Callithrix jacchus: one gene and its partner. The protein of the gene in region 1 interacts with the protein of each later gene in a pairwise test. Links are inferred from orthologs where the notes say so. Each region holds a gene or a part of one and is shown in the gene's direction. Other genes may lie near its edges.

Evidence for each region.
Region 2: the proteins of PRPF31 (region 1) and KCTD6 interact in binary tests that used the Homo sapiens proteins (3 or more experiments, as listed by UniProt). The two-hybrid records come from large-scale screens. The link is inferred for Callithrix jacchus from reciprocal best matches to the Homo sapiens genes PRPF31 and KCTD6.

The regions. Positions count from the first base shown.
Region 1 is NC_133523.1:47,308,444-47,316,762, forward strand, and holds the end of PRPF31 (U4/U6 small nuclear ribonucleoprotein Prp31), read left to right. Parts: intron 1-1,503; coding exon 1,504-1,593; intron 1,594-3,912; coding exon 3,913-4,040; intron 4,041-4,135; coding exon 4,136-4,208; intron 4,209-4,829; coding exon 4,830-4,958; intron 4,959-5,043; coding exon 5,044-5,142; intron 5,143-6,745; coding exon 6,746-6,871; 3' UTR 6,872-7,164; downstream 7,165-8,319. UniProt on the Homo sapiens protein: Involved in pre-mRNA splicing as component of the spliceosome. Required for the assembly of the U4/U5/U6 tri-snRNP complex, one of the building blocks of the spliceosome.
Region 2 is NC_133516.1:40,274,118-40,284,268, forward strand, and holds the start of KCTD6 (BTB/POZ domain-containing protein KCTD6), read left to right. Parts: upstream 1-4,527; 5' UTR 4,528-4,780; intron 4,781-6,722; exon of another isoform or gene 6,723-6,966; intron 6,967-10,151. UniProt on the Homo sapiens protein: Probable substrate-specific adapter of a BCR (BTB-CUL3-RBX1) E3 ubiquitin-protein ligase complex mediating the ubiquitination and subsequent proteasomal degradation of target proteins.

The DNA.
Region 1 (8,319 bases):
GACTTAGGCAGGAGAATCGCTTGAACCTGGGAGGCAGTTTGCAATGAGCTGAGATTGCACCACTAGACTCCAGTCTAGGTGACAGAGTGAGTCTCTGTCTCAAAAAAAAAAAAAAAATTAGCTGGGCATGGTGACGGGAGCCTGTAATCCTAGCTATTTGGAAGACTGAGACAGGAGAATCACTTGAACCTGGGAGGTAGAGGCTGCACTGAGCCGACGTTGCGACACTGCACTCCAGCCTGGGTGACAGAGCTAGACTGCATCTCAAAAAAAAAAAAAAAATGCCGGCACTGTGGCCTACACCTGTGATCCCAGCACTTTGGGAGGCAGAGGCAGGTGGATGACTGGAGATCAGGAGTTTGAGACCAGCCTGGCCAACATGGTGAAACCTCGTCTCTACTAAAATATTACAAAATTAGTCAGGTGTGGTGGCACGTACTTGTAATCCCAGCTGCTTGGGAAGCTGAGGCAGGAGAATTGCTTGAACCCAGGAGGTGGAGGTTGCAGTGAGCCAAGATCACACACTGCATTCCAGCCTGAGCGATAAAGTAAGACTCCCATCTCAAAAAAAAAAAACAAAAACAGGCAGGACAGGCTCTGGGGCAGACAGGCCTGGGTCCAGATCCTGCTCTGTCCGGTTGCAGCAAGTGACCTCAGGCTCATGGCCCTGTGCCCTGCCCGGCCTCCCTCGGGGTCGCAGAGAACAACAGCACCGATGGCCAAGGCCCCCCTCCTGCCCTGTGTGGGGTTGTTTTTTTGGTCTTTTCTGTGACCCTTTAGGTCAGGCACTGCTATTGGAACACACCCCCAGGGGTGCTGGTGGGTCACCCCATCCTGGGAGAAGGGAGAGTGGGCTTTAGAACCCAGGAGTGGTGGGCCTGAGGCTCGGGGCTCCAGCCACCTCATAAGGCCATCACCACTGCCTCACAGCCCTAGGCTGTGGGTTAAACCTGCCCCAGGGAGCCTGGTGTCTTGTCACACAGGGCCTCTGCCGCCTCATCTTCCCATCCCAGATCGGTCCAGGCACAGGATGTAGACATCACAGGCCTGTAAGGGAGGCCAGGGCTGGCCATCGCGTCGCTGTGGCTGAGAGCTTGGGCTCTGTTTGCAGTCTGGATCGGAACCCTGGCTCCATCACCTCCCGGCTGTGTCGCTAGCGATGTGACTTGGAGCCTTGGTGTCCACACCTGAAAAGGGGGTGCAGTGATCACAGCAGCCCGATGTTTGAGTATTCGATGAGATGGCCCAAAGGGCACACTTAGCACGGAGCTGGTATCCAGGCTGAGTGCACTCCCAGCTGGTGTCCTTACCTGACTCTGCCGCTCACCAGCCCAGACGTGGCTCTGCACCCTGCCCTCATCCCCTCTTCTGTGAAGAGGGAGCTAAGAGCATACACCTCTAGAGCCTGCAGTGGAGCCAGATGAGAAGCACCCACTGTTGGTGTGCAGTTATGTCTGTCTGTCTGTCTCACACAGATTCTATTCCCGTTTTCCATTGCTCCAGGATCTCCGGCGGAAAGCGGCCCGGCTGGTGGCTGCTAAGTGCACGCTGGCAGCCCGCGTAGACAGTTTCCATGAGAGCACGGAGGGGAAGGTGAGGAGGGGAAGGAGGGGGCGGCCGGGCGTCCTTTCCTCTGGGCCTGGGGTGTCTGTGCGGGGAGAGCCCCAGCAGGGAGCTCACCCCAACAAGCACTGTCCTACCAGGGCAGAGGCAGTGTTTCTGCTGACCCTCCCTGGGGTCAGGCGCCCCTTCCCCAGTGTGTTCATTCCCTAGGGCTGCTATAGGAAGGTAGCACAAACCTACTGGCTTAAAACAGCACAGGTTTGGCTGGGCAAGTTGGCTCATGCCTGTAATCCCAGCACTTTGGGAGGCCAAGGCAGGCAGATCACAAGGTCAGGAGTTCGAGACCAGCCTGGCCAACATGGTGAAACCACGTCTCTATTATAGATACAAAAATTAGTCAGGCATGGGGTGCGCACCTGTAATCCCAGTTACTCTGGAAACAGGCAGGAGAATCGCTTAGACCCAGGAGGCAGAGGTTGCAGTGAGCTGAGATTCCACTATTGCACTCCAGCCTAGGTGACAGAGTGAGACTCCATCTAAAAAAAAATCAGCACAGGTTTACCATCTGTAGGTCGGAAGTCCAAAATGGGTTTCATTGGGCTGAAGTCAGGGTGTCAGCCCAGAGGCTTCCTTCTGGGGGACTCCTTGCCTTTTCCAGCTGCTAGGGGTCGCCGGCATCCCTTAGCTCGTGGCCCTTCTTCCTTTGCGAGCCAGCTGCGCGGCACCCTCAGACCTATCTCACCCTGCTTCTGTCTTCAGATCTTGGCCTCTGTCTTTCCCCATCTATTTTAAGGGCCCTTGTGGCTATACTGAGCCTGCTCACATGGTCCAGGATAGTCTTCCGAGCTCACACTCCTTAAACTCCTTAACCTCTTCACGTCCCTTTTGCCCTGAGGTGACATTCACAGGTTCTGGGAGTTAGAACACGGACCTCCTGGGGCATGTGTGTGTTGGTGGGGGCATAGTTTGCCTTCCGCACCAGGATCTGTCCCCCTCCAACAGGGGATACTATTCAAGTAATTATTCAGTTCACTTCTGTCTCCTTGGTAGATGTACTCGGGAGAGGAGACATGTTTTCTGTCTTGTGAACTGTTGCTTGCCAAGCACCCCGCCTGGCTCGGCAATCAGGTGTTCCATCTCCCCCTCCTCCTTTCCCTCTCTCCGTCTCACCCCCGGCCTGGGTGTAGGGAATGCAGCTGTGAGTAGCGCAGACAGAGCCCTGTCCCATGGCGTGGATACTCTCACTGGGGCCGGGTTGGGAGACAGTCCACAGGGGCAATCTGTCCTGTGCCTAGTAGGACTAGGTAAACATCAAGAAGAAAAACGCGGCCGGGCGCAGTGGCTCACGCCTGTAATCCCAGCACTTTGGGAGGCCGAGGCGGGTGGATCACGAGGTCAAGAGATCGAGACCATCCTGGCCATGGTGAAACCCCGTCTCTACTAAAAATACAAAAATTAGCTGGGCGTGGTGGCACGCGCCTGTGGTCCCAGCTACTCGGGAGGCTGAGGCGGAAGAATCGCTTGAAATCAGGCAGAGGTTGCAGTGAGCTGAGATTGCGCCACTGCGCTCCAGCCTGGTGACAGAGTAAGACTCCATCTCAAAAAAAAAAAAGAAGAAAAAGGCAGGTGATTGGGGTGGGGAGACATTAGGTGCTGGTTTAACTGGAAGTCGGGGGGACTTAGAGCTCTGAGGAGGTGAGGGTTTAACACAGACCTGAATGAAGTCAGGGAGCAAGGCACGTGGGTTCTCTGGAGAGAGTCTTCCCAGTACGGGTAGTGGTCGGTCGGTGCAAAGGCCCTGAGGCAGGAGCGCCAAGAGCCCTGGAGGAGAGAGGGAGGCCCTGGTGGAGCCTTGTGCGCCCCGAGGAGAACTCTGGCGGCAGCGGAGGGCCTGGGGGGCCAGTTTGGAATTGTTCTGAAAGATCTGGGATCTGCGGTGCGGAGAGGAACAGTGGAGTCGGCTGCCGGCTCTCAGAGTTGCTGATCGCTTACCCGAGGAGAATGAAGGTGGAGGGTGGAAGGCTGGGGAGGAGGAGCAGGAATTCTGCTTGGCCCTGGTACATTTGAAGGGCTGTTAACAATCCCAGTGTCAAGTAGACAGTTGTTTACAGGGTACAGAACCCAGAGGAGGGGTCTGAGCCAAGATGAGGGCATCAGATTGTAGACAGATCTGAAAACCCAGAGAGCAGATGAGATCCTCCGGGGCCCCGGAGCAAGGAAGGAGCGCTGGGGTGAGCAGTCTGCTCGGGTGGACAGGCAGAGGACAGGCAGACAGCGGACACAGGAGGCCTGGGTGGGCAGCCCACGTGAGCAGCAGCAGGACCCACCCCTTGCTCTCACCCTCCCTAGGTGGGCTACGAACTCAAGGACGAGATCGAGCGCAAGTTTGACAAGTGGCAGGAGCCGCCGCCTGTGAAGCAGGTGAAACCACTGCCTGCGCCCCTGGATGGGCAGCGGAAGAAGCGAGGTGGCCGCAGGTGAGAGCCCCTGGGGGTCCAGTAGGCATGGGGGTCGTGGAGTGGAGGAGCCGGTGTCCCCCCAGCTGACTCCCTGGCACCGCCTGCCCACCCAGGTACCGCAAGATGAAGGAGCGGCTGGGGCTGACCGAGATCCGGAAACAGGCTAACCGCATGAGCTTCGGAGAGGTTAGATGCCCCTAGCGCTGAAGCCATGAGGAGAACTCACGGCCACAGGCAGCCGCCGCCGCCCCCTGCCTCCCACCGCCTTCCCTCCTCTCTGCCCTGTGGCCCTGGCTCATGTCTAGGGCACGATCCTGGCCTCTACTCTGGTTTCTATCCATTCAGCCCCAAAGTGACCCTTGTCACCCTCAGAGTCCCTGCTGCTTCCCATCACCCCAGGCTCCTCGGCCAGTTTCTCCTGCCCTCTGCACGGCCCCTCCCTCCGTGAGCCCCGTCTCCTCCGTTATCCCAGTGTCATCCCCTTGGTCCTGCAAGACCCAGCTCAGAGGCCACCTCATCCTGTGGAACCTGTTCTGGTTCCAGACACCCCCCAACCCACATGCATAAGGAAGGCCTCTCAACTCTGAGCTCACAGAGCAGCGCCGGGACCCAGCCCCTTTCAGGCTCCCCAGCATCCCCGGCTTGTAGGGGCCCCCAGGCCTCAGCTGGGCCGAGTGGGTACCCGAGCAGGTGCCCATGGGGCCAGCCAGCTGGTGACCGCGGGGCTTCTAGCTGGTGGAGGGGGTGCCTGAGTGGCTGGAGGGCGGGGTCTGGTCCCTGACGGCAGGGGCTTCCCTTTCCCCCTAGATCGAGGAGGACGCCTACCAGGAGGACCTGGGATTCAGCCTGGGCCACCTGGGCAAGTCGGGCAGTGGGCGCGTGCGGCAGACACAGGTCAACGAGGCCACCAAGGCCAGGATCTCCAAGACGCTGCAGGTATGTGCCGACCTGGGTGGGGCCAGGGACCGAGGGACGCAAGGTAGGGTGAGCCCAGATAACAGCCTCCCTGTCCTTCCCACAGCGGACCCTGCAGAAGCAGAGCGTGGTATATGGCGGGAAGTCCACCATCCGCGACCGCTCGTCGGGCACGGCCTCCAGCGTGGCTTTCACCCCACTCCAGGTACTTGCCCTGGGCCAGCTCTGTCCCCAGCCCCAAGATGCTGGCAAGGCCCCTTGCCCTCTGCCCCTGTGAACAGGCCACAATGAGTCCCCTTACAGGGCTGTCACGGGGGGTGTGGTGAAGACATGCCAAAGGCATCGGCAGCCCCTGGCACACAGCAAGTGCTCGAGGTTAGCAGAGACGAGAGGCGCACAACAGTCCTCATGAGCGGGGACCGGGGCTACATCCCAGGGACCCTGTTTTTCTCTGTGGGGCCATGAACGGGTTACATTGCTCAGCCTCTAGGACCTCAGTTTGAAATGGCTAGAGTGGTTAAGGTAACCTCAGGACCCCACTCGAAACAGTTCCCAGCTAGGTGGGCTTGGGTGTCACGTGTGGGTCTGGCCCCCAGCCCAGTCAGCAGTGAGTGGCTTGGAGCACGGCAGTCACCGCACCATCGGCACCGCGGTTTGCCATCCACAGAGCAGGGCGAGCCTGCACCGTGGCTGTGGGACAGTGGGGAGCTCATCTGCTCAGACAGCGGCTGTCGGTGCTCTCGGCTCTGGGGGTGAAGCGGTGAATGAGAGAGACAAGTCTTGCCTTCCTGGAGCCTGTGGGTGGCTGGGCACAGACAGATCAGTAAGATGCCCAGTGTGGTAAAAGGCAGAAATACCAGGGAGGGAAGGACGTGGGAGGTGGGACAGGGAGGCCTTCGTCCTAGCACAGCCAGGGAGGGCCTCACCTTTCCCTGCCTCCACTCCCATGTTATGAGGTGTTCAGTTCTGAAAAAGGAGTGCACAGAAGGCACTTGGTCCTGCACTTGCTGGTGGAGCCTGATGACAGGTCCTGTGCTTATTTTCTCTTTTCTTTCTTTTTTTTTTTTTTTTTTGAGACGGAGTCTGACTCTGTCGCCAGGCTGGAGTGCAGTGGTGCAATCTTGGCTCACTGCAACCTCCGCCTCCTGGATTCAAGCAATTCTCCTGCCTCAGCCTCCTGAGTAGCTGGGATTACAGGCGCCTGCCACCATACCCAGCTAATTTTTGTATTTTTATTAGGGACTGGGTCTCACCATGTTGGCCAGGATGATCTTGATCTCTTGACCTTGTGATCCACCCACCTTGGCCTCCCAAAGTGCTGGAATTACAGGCTTGAGCCACCGCGCCCAGCCTGTTATTATTTTCTTTAGAGACAGAGTCTCGCTCTGTTGCCCAGGCCTTGAAAATATTTAGGAAGTTCCAGCCAGGTGCCGGCGTCTATCGCTGGACACTGTGATCATCAGTAGTGTTGGTGTGATTTGTGCTGGGACCTCCAGCCAGCCACATCCCCCAGAGACTCAGTTTCCTCATCCAGAAACTGAGCAGGATTGGCTGTCCTCAGGCACTGGTGTTTTTAGCAGCCCCTGGGGAACTTGTTAAAAACCTAGGTGCCCTGGTTTCTCCCCACCCTCTCCCCCCAGACCCACTGAGGCAGAATCTTCCAAGGCAGGGCGACTCCAGGGACTGGCAAACTGTCCCATGCCCACCCAAGGCCTGAGTACCACGGGGAAAGGCCTGGGGGGCTCTGGCGTGTCAGTTGGGGCCTTCTCCTTGCCCAACACATCATCCTCTCTCCCTCACCTGCCTAGGGCCTGGAGATTGTGAACCCACAGGCCGCGGAGAAGAAGGTGGCTGAGGCCAATCAGAAGTATTTCTCCAGCATGGCAGAGTTCCTCAAGGTCAAGGGCGAGAAGAGTGGCCTCATGTCTACCTGAATGATAGCGTGTGCCCAACGTGGCTTCCCACTGAAGGGACGTTGAAGTCCAGGCCTTCTGAAGGGCTGGGATGGGGGTTAGGGGTTGTGGCAGGGAGAGCCTTCCCTGCCGCCCACCCGGTGCTCGACTGCCCAGGGAGGGGCCTCGGAAGAAGCCTGGCCCGGCCTCCTCCAGGATGGAGCTCACCGCCCTGGATGGGTTAGAGCAGGTCTTCATGCCTTGTCTTTTTTATTTTAACTGAGAAAGGAGATACTTTTTTGAAGAGAGTGCAATTAAAAAGCACATTATCAAGATCTGTCCTTGGGGAGTGATCATTTTTCAAACAGCTGGGGCAACTAGAATAGTCAGAGCTTCGGAGTTTGGGGAAAAGAGCTTCGCCTCCGGGGCGCACTCCCTCCCCTGTTCCTTTCTCACCAACCCCCTGGAGAACCTCAGTCGCTTTGATAGCAGACGGTGTGGCAGCCGACACCTGAAGATCTCAGCGCAGGCTGACCAAGGTTGCGCTGGCACCTCAGGCCGGTTGCCTCGCCTTTCCGAGCCTCCACAGCTACGCCCAGGCACCCAGGGCTGGAAAGAACGCGCAGAAAGCACTTAGCACAGGGCTCGCGTCAGCACCCAATAACTGGGTCCTGTTACTGGTGTTTTTTAGAGATGAGGCCTCTGTCGCCCAGGCTGGAGTACAGTGATGTAATCATAGCTCACTACGGCCTCAAACTCCTGGTTTCAAGCTGGGATTACAGACGCATGCCACAGTTCCTGGTTAATTTTGAAACTTTTTATAGATGGGGTCGCACTCTTACCCAGGCTGGGCTTGAACTTCTGTGCTCAAGTGATCCTTCCACCTCAGCCTCCCTAAGTGTTGAGATTACAGGCTTCAGCCACTGCGTCTAGCCTCTTACTATATTTTATTTATTCATGTTTTTGAGATGGAGTCTCACTCTGTCGCCCAGGCTGGAGTGTGTGATTTCAGTTCACTGTGACCTCCACCTCCCAGGTCCAAGTGATTCTCTTGCCTCAGCCTCTTGGGTAGCTGGGATCAGGCACCTACCACCAAATTTTGTGGGGGTTTTTTGGTTGTTTGTTTTTTGAGACAGAGTCTCATTCTTTTTTTTTTTGAGACGGAGTTTCGCTCTTGTTACCCAGGCTGGAGTGCAATGGCTCAATCTCGGCTCACTGCAACCTCCGCCTCCTGGGTTCAGGCAATTCTCCTGCCTCAGCCTCCCGAGTAGCTGGGATTACAGGCATGCGCCACCATGCCCAGCTAATTTTTGTATTTTTAGTAGAGACGGTGTTTCACCTTGTTGACCAGGATAGTCTCGATCTCTTGACCTTGTGATCCACCCGTCTCAGCCTCCCAAAGTGCTGGGATTACAGGCGTGAGCCACTGTGCCTGGCACAGAGTCTCATTCTTGCCCAGGTTACAGTGCAGTGGCGAGATCTCAGCTCAC
Region 2 (10,151 bases), on another chromosome or scaffold:
GGAGCAGGCATGACTCAAAGCTTCTGGTCTGGGCAGATGGGAGGACGGAGGCGCCATTTGCCGAGCTGAGCTGGGGACTTGGGAGGTTTGGGGGTGGTGCGGAGGGTTCAGGTTTGTACATGCTGAGGGTGAGGAGACTGGTGGTGGACCTGGGATCGATGGGCTGTGGGAGAAGGAAACTGAGGGAAGCCGGCAGAGCCACATTCCATTCTCTCCTCCCACCCTTAGCCATATAGCCTGGATCAATAACTTCACCTCTCTGTGCCTTCCCCTTCTTATCTGTCCTGTGGGGGGAGCCAGAGCTGTCATGAGGGTGTGGCCACAGCCTCCTGGTTCCCGCCTTGTGGTGACCCCCCACACGGTAGTATGGTTTATCTGTAGGTCCATAATAACATGTGTGTCGCTTTTGAGGCTGGGTTATAAACGACATTTTGGCTTCTACCTTGCTCTCTCTTGGTCACTTGCTCTGGGGGATGTCAACTGCCATGTTATCAGGAGAGACTCTCATGATGAGGAATGAATGCCTTGTGCTGAACGCCACGTGAGTGAGTTTGGGAGCGAAGTCTCCAGGCTTCAGATGACTGCAGCCCCTACCGCCCTCAGGACTGCAAGCTCCTGTCAGACCCTGAGCTGCTTCCAAGTTCCTGACCCACAGAAACTGAGGGGATAGAACTTGGAAGTTTAAGACCCCACCATTTGGGATTATTTGTTATGTGGCAAAGGGTAACTGATACAGAGGGTAAAAGCCTTGCACAGAGTTGGGGCTATAGACTAGGTGAGATCTATAGCTCTGGATTCAGGAGAGAGGGCTGGGCTGGAGTCACAGGTTTAGAAGCCTTTGGCTCAGACACAGTAATGGAATTGATGGAGGTGGCTGAGCCGGTCCATGGAGAGGGGCACATGGAGAGGAGGGGAAGGTGTTAGACAGAAACTTGGGTATAAGTGTCCAGGGTAAAACAATAGGAGCATCTCTGTAAGTCTACGAGGAGGAGCTAGAGAAGAAGGAGGGGTCCAGGGAGCTCCCACAGAAGGAGAAAGGTTTTCCTGACAAGTAGGAGGTGAGGTCCACTAGGCAGTGAGAGTTGGGAGAGGAAGGAGGGAGACAGGGAGGGGACTCAGAACTCCAGGCTTCATTCCTACGGATCAGTTTTGTCAACTGCTGGTCCCCCTTTGCCCTCCCAGCACTGTACCAGGCTTGGTTCCTTCCTATAACAGGTGTAGATCTGATAATGAACAGCCCCCTCCAGGCCAGCCTAGCCCAGGGCAGACCAGGATCAGTCTCTTTACCACAGGAGCCTGGATGCTTGGTGGCCACCTGGAAAAGAAAGGTGCAGAGGGCTAGGGGCAGCTGTAAGCCAGAAGCCAGCCTTCCCTTGCAGGCTTGCAACCCTGAGCAATATGGGGCAAAAGGTAACTGATACAGAAGGTAAAAGTACCTGGCACAGTGCCTTGCACAGAGTTGGGGCTATAGAATAGGTGAGATCTATAGCTCTGGATTCAGGAGAAAGGGCTGGGCTGGAGTCACGGGTTTGGAAGCCTTCAGCTCAGACACAGTAATGGAACTGATGGAGGTGGCTGAGCCAGTCCATGGAGTGGGGCACCTGGAGAAGAGGGGATGGTGTTGGACAGAAACAGCTTCCAATGTAAACCCTCTCCACCCCCAATCCCCGAAACCAACAGATCCAGATGGTTTACAGGAGACGCCTATAGAACATGCAAACTACAGAAAAATCCCAGTCTAGTGAATAGACACTCAGGTATGTTGTGAGGCTCATGGAACTTTGATAGCAAAGCCAGATGAGGAAAGAATAAGAATGGAAAATAATAGCGTATCTCAGTCATTCATATGGACATGAAGACCCTAAGTAAAATATTAGCAAATGGAATCTAGCAGTATATTGAAAAAGTAATACATCATGACATGTGAAATTCCTTTAATAAAAATATATTGACTTAAAAAATATATCATCAAGGCGAGTTTAGCCTGGGAATACATGGATAGCTTAATATCATAAGATACAATAATATATCTTATTTAATATAGTATAATACAATCCATGTAATTCATTGCATTGCAATGGGGAGAATCTCACATTGATAAAATTCAGCACCCATTGACAGTAAAGAAGAATAGTGCTTCCTAACCCTCATAAAGAATGTCTATCAAAAAATCCACAACAAACACTGCAGTTAACAGTGATATGTTAGAAGCAGTCAAAACCAGGATAGAAGTGGCCATACCATCACTGCTTTTCAACATTGTGTGGGAGAATTTAGTCACCACAGTGCAGCAAGAAAAAGGAAAAAAAGGACAGGAAGATACCGCACTGTCATGACTTACAGACTCTATGATTATTTGCACTGCGAATTCAAGAGAACCTACACACTTAATAGAACTGAAAAAGAGTTTAATTTTGCTGGCTATAAGATTACATAAAAACCAACTGCATTTCTTTCCTTCTTTCTTTTCTTTCTTTCTTTCTTTCTTTCTTTCTTTCTTTCTTTCTTTCTTTCTTTCTTTCTTTTCTTTTCTTTCTCTTTTTTTGAGACAGTCTCACTCTGTCACCAGGCACCAGGCTGGGATGCAGTGGCGCGACCTTGTCTCACTGCAACCTCCGCCTCCTGGGTTCAAGCAATTTTCCTGCCTCAGCCTCCCAAGTAGCTGGGACTACAGGTGCACACCACCATGCCCAGCTAATTTTTTTGTATTTTTAGTAGAGACGGGGTTTCACCATGTTGGCCAGTATGGTCTCGATCTCTTGACCTCGTGATATGCCCGCCTCGGCTTCCCAAAGTGCTGGGATTACAGGCATGAGCCACTGTGCCCGGCTCAACTGCATTTCAATAGCCATCTGTCAATTATAAAAGAAAAATTTGAAGGTACAATTAACAATAGTTCTAAAAATTGTTAAGATAGGAAGGACTAAGTCTGACAAAAACACCAACAGAATTAATCCATCAGTTTTTATTTGGGGGATAGAAGCCCTGAGAGGGGAAATGACTCTTTCAAGGACACTCAGTAAGTCAGAGACAATTCTGGATTTTCAGTGGTACCAAATTCTGGAAGTCTGAGTATTGGGTAATTTTGGTATTGTCCTCCTGTTTAAAAAAAATAATAAAAGCCGGAGTGAGGTGGGGTGGGGTGGGGTGCAAAAAAACAAACAAACCAAAACTCGTATTTTTTAATTATAAATTCAATAGTCATGTGTTCTGATTATAAATTCAATATTCATGAAAATGCAGAAGAACACTAAGAAGCAATGTCATTAACATTCCCATACTATTATCTTCAACATGATGATCAATGGTTTGATGTATTTCCCTCAAAATTTTTGTCTGTGTATATTTATGTTTTAAAAAATAAAATCAGGATTATATCATGTATACTAGTTTGTGTACTGATTATTTTCACACACATTTCCCTGTATTCTCCCCTAGTCTTGTGAAGTTGATAATGTAGCACTCAGTTATGTTGATGAAGCATATGTCATTTATTTAACCTATCAATTTGAGTTTTTGGAGAAAAATCAAGTATCAAATATGACTGTGATGATGCTGATAAGAATTTCAGCCCCAGAGCCAGCTCACACACATGCAGATGTGAAACCCGAGTGAGTTTCTAAGGCCAGTGGTTATTCTGGTGGAGAAGCGGAAACAGCAAACCCACCATCAGGGAACTGGCTTCACCGGAAGGGGACCGCGACCTAGCTAGCAGGAAGCGAATGGGACTTGGAACAAGTGGACTCATGGAGACCAATGAGCCCTAAGGCCTTAGGAGCTGCCCATCCTCTGAAGCCTTGGCCTCCTTCCTGGTGAAGTGGGGACAATACCGGCGCCAGCCTTGTCTAGCGCGGAGCTCCTCCAGGCCCCAGAGCCTTTGCACTGGTCGTTTTGTCTGCTGTGGTGGCTCTGCCCTCCTCTCCACTTGGCTGCCCATATTGCAGAGCCTCTGGGCCCGGCTGCTCTTTACTGTTCTGCCCTCCAAGCCGGATGGGTGGCCCCGGAGGCTTCCTCACAGCTCTCATAGAAGCAGTCTCCTCAATGCAGGGCAGGCAGGAGGGGCTCTGGCCGCAGGTCCGGGTCCAGGTCTTCCTTGGCCACTGCGTTTGAAGCAGGGGTCCCCTTCCCTTCTGCTCCATCAAATCCTCTAATCACTCCCCTTCCAACACTTATGATCATAACCTGTCATTATTTTGTCTACTAGCTGTTACCTTGAGTTTTGTCTGTCTTGTCCTTCCATTAGAACCCGCCTCCGTCTTGGTGGGCGCTGTATCTCCTAAACCCCCAGGCCTGAGATATAGTGGGGCCCCATACAAGTTCGTGAAATGATTGAGGAGAAACGCTGCGCGACACCAGCCCTGAGGACGCAGTGGGCTTGTGGCTGGGCGGACCCCAGAATGTGGGCGGAGGCTGGACGTAGGGGCGGGGTTTAGGGGCGGAGCCTAGGGGACCGGACTGGGGCTTCGGGGCGGGGCTTCGGGGCTGCGGTGGTGTGGTCTTAACCACGCGGCTCCGGGTGCGCTAGCTGAGTTCCCCCGGCCGCCGGTCCCTTTGGCTTCCCGCCCGCGCCGCCGGTAGGGGGCGCCCGCGCTCGTGGCGCCTAGGCTCTGCTGGGAAGGCGCCGCCCGCGCCGGGCAGCTGGAGCCGCAACTCCGGGCGCGGGCTCAGTCGTCCCCTCTGCCGCCGCCGCCGCCACCGCCGTCGCCGGGCGCGGGCTCGCTCGTCCCTGCGCTCGCGTTCTCCGGCCGCGGGCAGCTCCCGGCCCGGCCGCCGCCGCGCAGTGAGTGGGGCTGGCGCTGGGCTTGCGGGGCCGGGGCTTGGAAGGGCCGGGTTTCCGGACATGCCTGAGCCGAGCGGGCAGGGGAGCTGGGCTGAGGAGGTTCTGGCCGGGGGAGCCTGGAATCGGGCGGCGGCGGGGCCGCGCTGAGGGGACCGTGCGTCCAGGGGCTGGCACGAGCCCGCGGCGGAGGTGCCCGCGGTCGGGCCTGGGCGGGGGTTCCGGGGCCCGCCCGGCGGGGACGCGCGATTTCGGCGCGCCCCTCGTCCGGGCCCGGAGCATCGCCCGCCCTACCCCTGGCGGGGTCGGGTTGCGGGGGCTTTGCTGGCGGGGCAACAGCGAAGCGTAGCCCAGACGGGGACATTCGGGGTGTGCTCGCAGATGATTGATTTTGGGAGATGGCGCTTATTAGCCACCAATTGCCCTAGTTTAAAACGTGAGGCAGGGCTCTAAACCCTGCCTGTGGGCTTTTCTGCCCTGAAGAGACACTCAGATTGCAGCTGAGTTCTTTAAGCTTAGATTTGTGTGTGTGGTGGCATTTTTAATGCTTGATGTCAAGGTGATAAATGACCGTGGTAATGGGGAGCCCCTGCAGCACCTGCTGGGCTGACGGTGGAGGCTGTGTCTGGGGGTGGGACGGGGAAATGAAACGTGACAGAGATCCTGTTTGGATATTCTGCTGAAGTTATCATGTTTCTGTTCAAGTATACCAGTTCTAGAACAAGTTGATGGATCCAATTTTAGGACTTTGTGATAAAGGAGGTTTGGGTGGCAAAGTGGCCCGGGATGACCCGGCTCGCTAAGCAGATTTGGAGTAGCCCAAGTATCTCTCCATATCCCCCTGGCATGTTCTTTTTTTCGCTGTCACGAATGCCCTATTACTTGAATCATCCTGGGATAGGAAAGCAGCTTGGGGACAGCATGTGACACAGTCCTGAGCCCAAGATTGAGATGTTTTCAAATGAACAAATGTGTAGCTAGGAAAAGGAAAATGTTTTTGTCAGCAGTGTTGGTAGGTTGAGAGAATTTTCTCTTTGGCGGAAAACCATCAGTCCATATTGATATTTGATTTTGTGATTTGCCTTAGATATGAAGGATGCAGCGGTCAGGGTAGTCATGGATGCTATTCCTAAGTTTTGTGATTTGAATTTTCATAAATCATATTTTAACCCAAGTATCACTACTTAAAGGGCTCTTAGGGTGAACCCTATGAATCCTTCAGTGTGTTTGGATTTTGATATTTGGGGTCCATTTAAAATGGAGTACATGTATTTACTGGGATTCAGCTTTACCTTGGAGATAATCCTGAGTCATGCTTTAAATAAGTTCCTTCTGAGATCAAGAGCTCAGATGTCTGGTGATCTCTGGAAAAGCTAGGCACCCCCCTTTACCTGTATGTACTTCTCCCTTCTGGAGCTCTGGGAAAAGGAGCACCTGGGGAGATTTGAAGCAAATTAAGAGGCTGCCTTCTCTATATTTGCCCTGTCTCCAGGCCAGTGCTCTAAATTACTTGTGTTCACACTCAAGTTTCTCATGTTAACATAGAAATTTTGTTTATACTGCTGCCACTAGTGTTTTCATATTTAATACTTGCCAATTTGCAGATGGTTTTATATTCGTGATTTCACTCATTTTCTCCATTTCCCCAAAGAAGAAGTTGGGCATAGAGTGATTTTCTCAGGGTCTCATAATCAGTAATGGAGCAGAATTCGATTACAGGACCTCCCAGGGAACTGTTCTCTTCTTTGTATTGTTGTGTTACTCTTAGAGGCCAATTTTTGCCTTTCTTTTGTGCCTAAATGGTGTAATTACTTTTGAGAAGGTGGTATTATCCTGTTTTTTCTTGTGGAAACTGAGTTAAGAGGAGTGTTATGATTTTGTGACTATCTATGACAGTTTTTTTTAATATTAGGTCACTTTTCAACCTATAGCTCCTCTTTTCTAGACCACATGGTTGAGAGGGGAGAAAGAGAAAATGATTACTTTTCCTGCAGTCATATGGTTAAGGATAATCTAACACCATAATCACATTATCCTTGTATGCCTGGCTACTTGTGCTGGCCTGTGTGTGAATGTTAACCCCAAAGACTCCTTTAGATGTCACTGAACCAGTTACTATAAAAAGTATTTCACTTTCAAACTCCCACATTTCGAGAAGAGCAAAACTCAGTACAAAGGCAATTTTGAAGGTAAGTATAGAAAGAGGGAGTTTATTGAGTCTTTTCTGAATGCCAGACACAAAAACGTTTCAGTAGAAAAGCATTTTAAAGGGCTGCCTGGAAACTCTGGGAAGGTAGTAGTTGGAGGTTTTTATTATTCATTGAAGTTTGGAGGTTTATATTGCAACATGTAAGTTGTTATATAGGATTAGGACTTTGGCCCTGGAGAATTCTTAGTCTATAGCAGAAATGATAAACTCAGAATATTTTTGTTAAGTTAGTTCATCATAACCAGTAAGCCTGTAATTGCAGTTCCACAGTGGTAGGGAGAATTGCATTTAAGGGTTCTTAGGTTACTTTTTAAGCTATTAACTTACTGAATTATGTATTCTTCAGATATGCTACTTTAGAAAATTAATACTTTCTTTTAAGGCTTCTATAAATTCTTCAGTATGTGTTTTCTTAAGCTTAATTACCTGCTAACATGACACTGTCAGAATTTATACATTAGTCATAATAACTTTTGAAGCTTAAACATGGGTGAATTTTCAGCACTGCTTTATATTCTTTGGGGAATGGTCGGTGGTGTTTTCACAGGAATTTTATTTGCGTCAAAGGTTAAATCTTTTCAGGTGAACTGATTTTACAGAGTCAGAGACTTCTTTGATCTTTATGGCTGTTTGTGCTTGGTTGCATTTGCTGTCTTTCAAAACCATCATTAGTTTTAGTAAGGAAAGTCACTGTAAAGGAAAGTTTTTTTCATTTTTCATTTGTTACCATTTCTGGCAGATTTTCTGAAACATTAGATATTTCTTTGCCTTCATCTAGTAAAACAGGCCTATTTGATGCCCATTTCAAGATCTTCCTTCTGCTGCCTATCTTGTGGTCATTTAACTTCTCATTAAGCCCTCCACTGGAGACTATGCCAGAAGGGAGAGAAGATGAAAAGCAAATAAATCATTTTCTAATTGTTAGCAGCTCTGGAAAATGATTTAGTAGAAGAGATTGAAACCATTCTGGAAATTCCTTGGGATTATGTTATATTTCATTCATCTGCATGGTTTCAGAGATGTTCCTAATGGTCATCAATTCAGAATTCAGAAGCTGATTATTATCCAGCTAGTGAATAACAAGGAATTCTTTGTGCCTTTTTAAAAATTTGCTTCTTGCTGTATCTAAGTATCTCTACAGGAGATATTTAGAAGCAGGTAGAGATAAAATTTAATCAATACTGTTTTTGCTCTTTGAACTTTTAATGAACAATTTGATTTCTTTAGACAGTTTAGTCATTGTTATTGGAAATGACTAATAGTGACTTTGCTTCAGTTTATTTTGATGTATCTTATATACAAGTATAGGAAGGCTTTTGGGTACTTTTTAAGAAATGTGGGCTATAGATTCCCATAATTGCTTTCCTGATTTATTAAGCATGAGGTTTCATTACATCTTTGTACCAGAACTTTTGCATTTGCTGTGGACCAGATTCAGGGACATCATCTAATTTTCTTTCTTTCTTCTTCTTCTTTTTTTTTTTTTTAATAATGCTCAAGAAGTTACCTTGTTTTGATTTAGCAGTAAAAAAAAAAAAAGATTAATGGTAGACAGACTTTTCATTAACAGTGGTAACATTGATGTATGCTTTTTTTCTTTTTTTTTCTTTTTTTTCTTGTCTTTGGTCTTCTGTTTCTCATTTAATCATTTGGATATTCATGGATTGGAGTTCTTTATTTTTGAGACAGAGTTTCGCTCTGTTAACCAGCTTGGGTGGTGCAGTCTCGGCTCACTACCACCTCTGCTCACTACAACCTCCACCTCCCAAGTGATTCTTCTGCTTCAACCTCCTGAGTAGTTGGGACTACAGGCACCACCACACCCGGCTAATTTTTGTATTTTTAATAGAGACGGCGTTTCTCCATGTTGGTCAGGCTCATCTTGAACTCCTGTCCTCGTGATCCACTGGCCTCGGCCTCCCAAGTGCTGGGATTACTGGCGTGAGCCACCGCACCAGGCCCTGGATTGGAGTTCCTTATGTCACTGCAGACAGAGGACAGCAGCCATTATTCACACTAATTGAATGGGTTCCTGTCTTTTTTTGTGTGTGAGCGGGACTCAGGAGAATTTTTACAAACCCATGTGTCTGTTTAGTTAGGCTGTTACTGTAAAATTTGTAAATAAAACCCTACTGGGTGGATAGGGTTAATAGATGGCTAGTAGAGAGTTTAAAGTTAATCTTTTTCAATTTCTTGTCTCTTAGATTCTGTTCTTTCAATTTCTACCCTAGGAGGGGATTTATGGAAAAATCTAGACTAAGAGTCAGAACATGCAAGTTCTTATCGAGTTATTTCCCCACTGTGATGCCTTAAGCTAGTCACTTAATCTGCCCTGTTTGTCTGTTTTGCATCTCTAAGATGAGGATAGTAATCCATGCTCGCCTACTGGTGTCAGGAATGTTGTAGGGGGAAAAAAAGTCTTTCATACCTGTCTATTAAATTGTTTCTTCATTCTAGAATCCCTTCTCAGGTTGTCCAGATTTTCTTTCAAGGATTCAACTGAGTGAGCTCTTCCCAGAAGTCCTCCATTTTCCCATTTGGAATCTTACTTTTCCCCTCTCATGGGCCTCTGCTGGTTCATCTGTTATATGGCACTTTGAATTCTGTTCTGTACTTCAGTCATTGCATGTTGCCTTCCATTATAGATGGAAAGCTCCATGAGGGCAAAGACTGTACTTTTTGTATTTCCATGTATCCATGTTGCACATAGGCACCCCATCCACCCCAGAGGTGACCCACAAGAATTGTTGGCTGAACGAATTATTATTGAGGTTGTCAGGAATGAATACTTTGGATGATGAGAAAATGCCAAAGATGAGCATCTTACCAGAACTTTTGGATGAGTGGCCTTTTAAATTGCTCAGTTACTAATCTGTTGTTATCAGTGACTGAATCAGATTCTGGCAAGACAAATTGGCAAAGCCCGTTTCTTGGTTCTGTTTACTTCGGATACTATTTGTGAAGCAAGTCAGAGGAATGAAAGACTGCCATAACAATCTTGAATTTGACATTTGTTCCATTTCTCGCCCCATAGCATGTGGAGGCCTATCTATATCCTACCGCTCTGTGTAAAGAATAAAAACTGACTGCCTAGAGCCTGGTCCACATTTTAGTTTGTGTGCTTTGAAGAGTTTGCAAGGTAGAGTAATAGATGCTTCAGGCTCT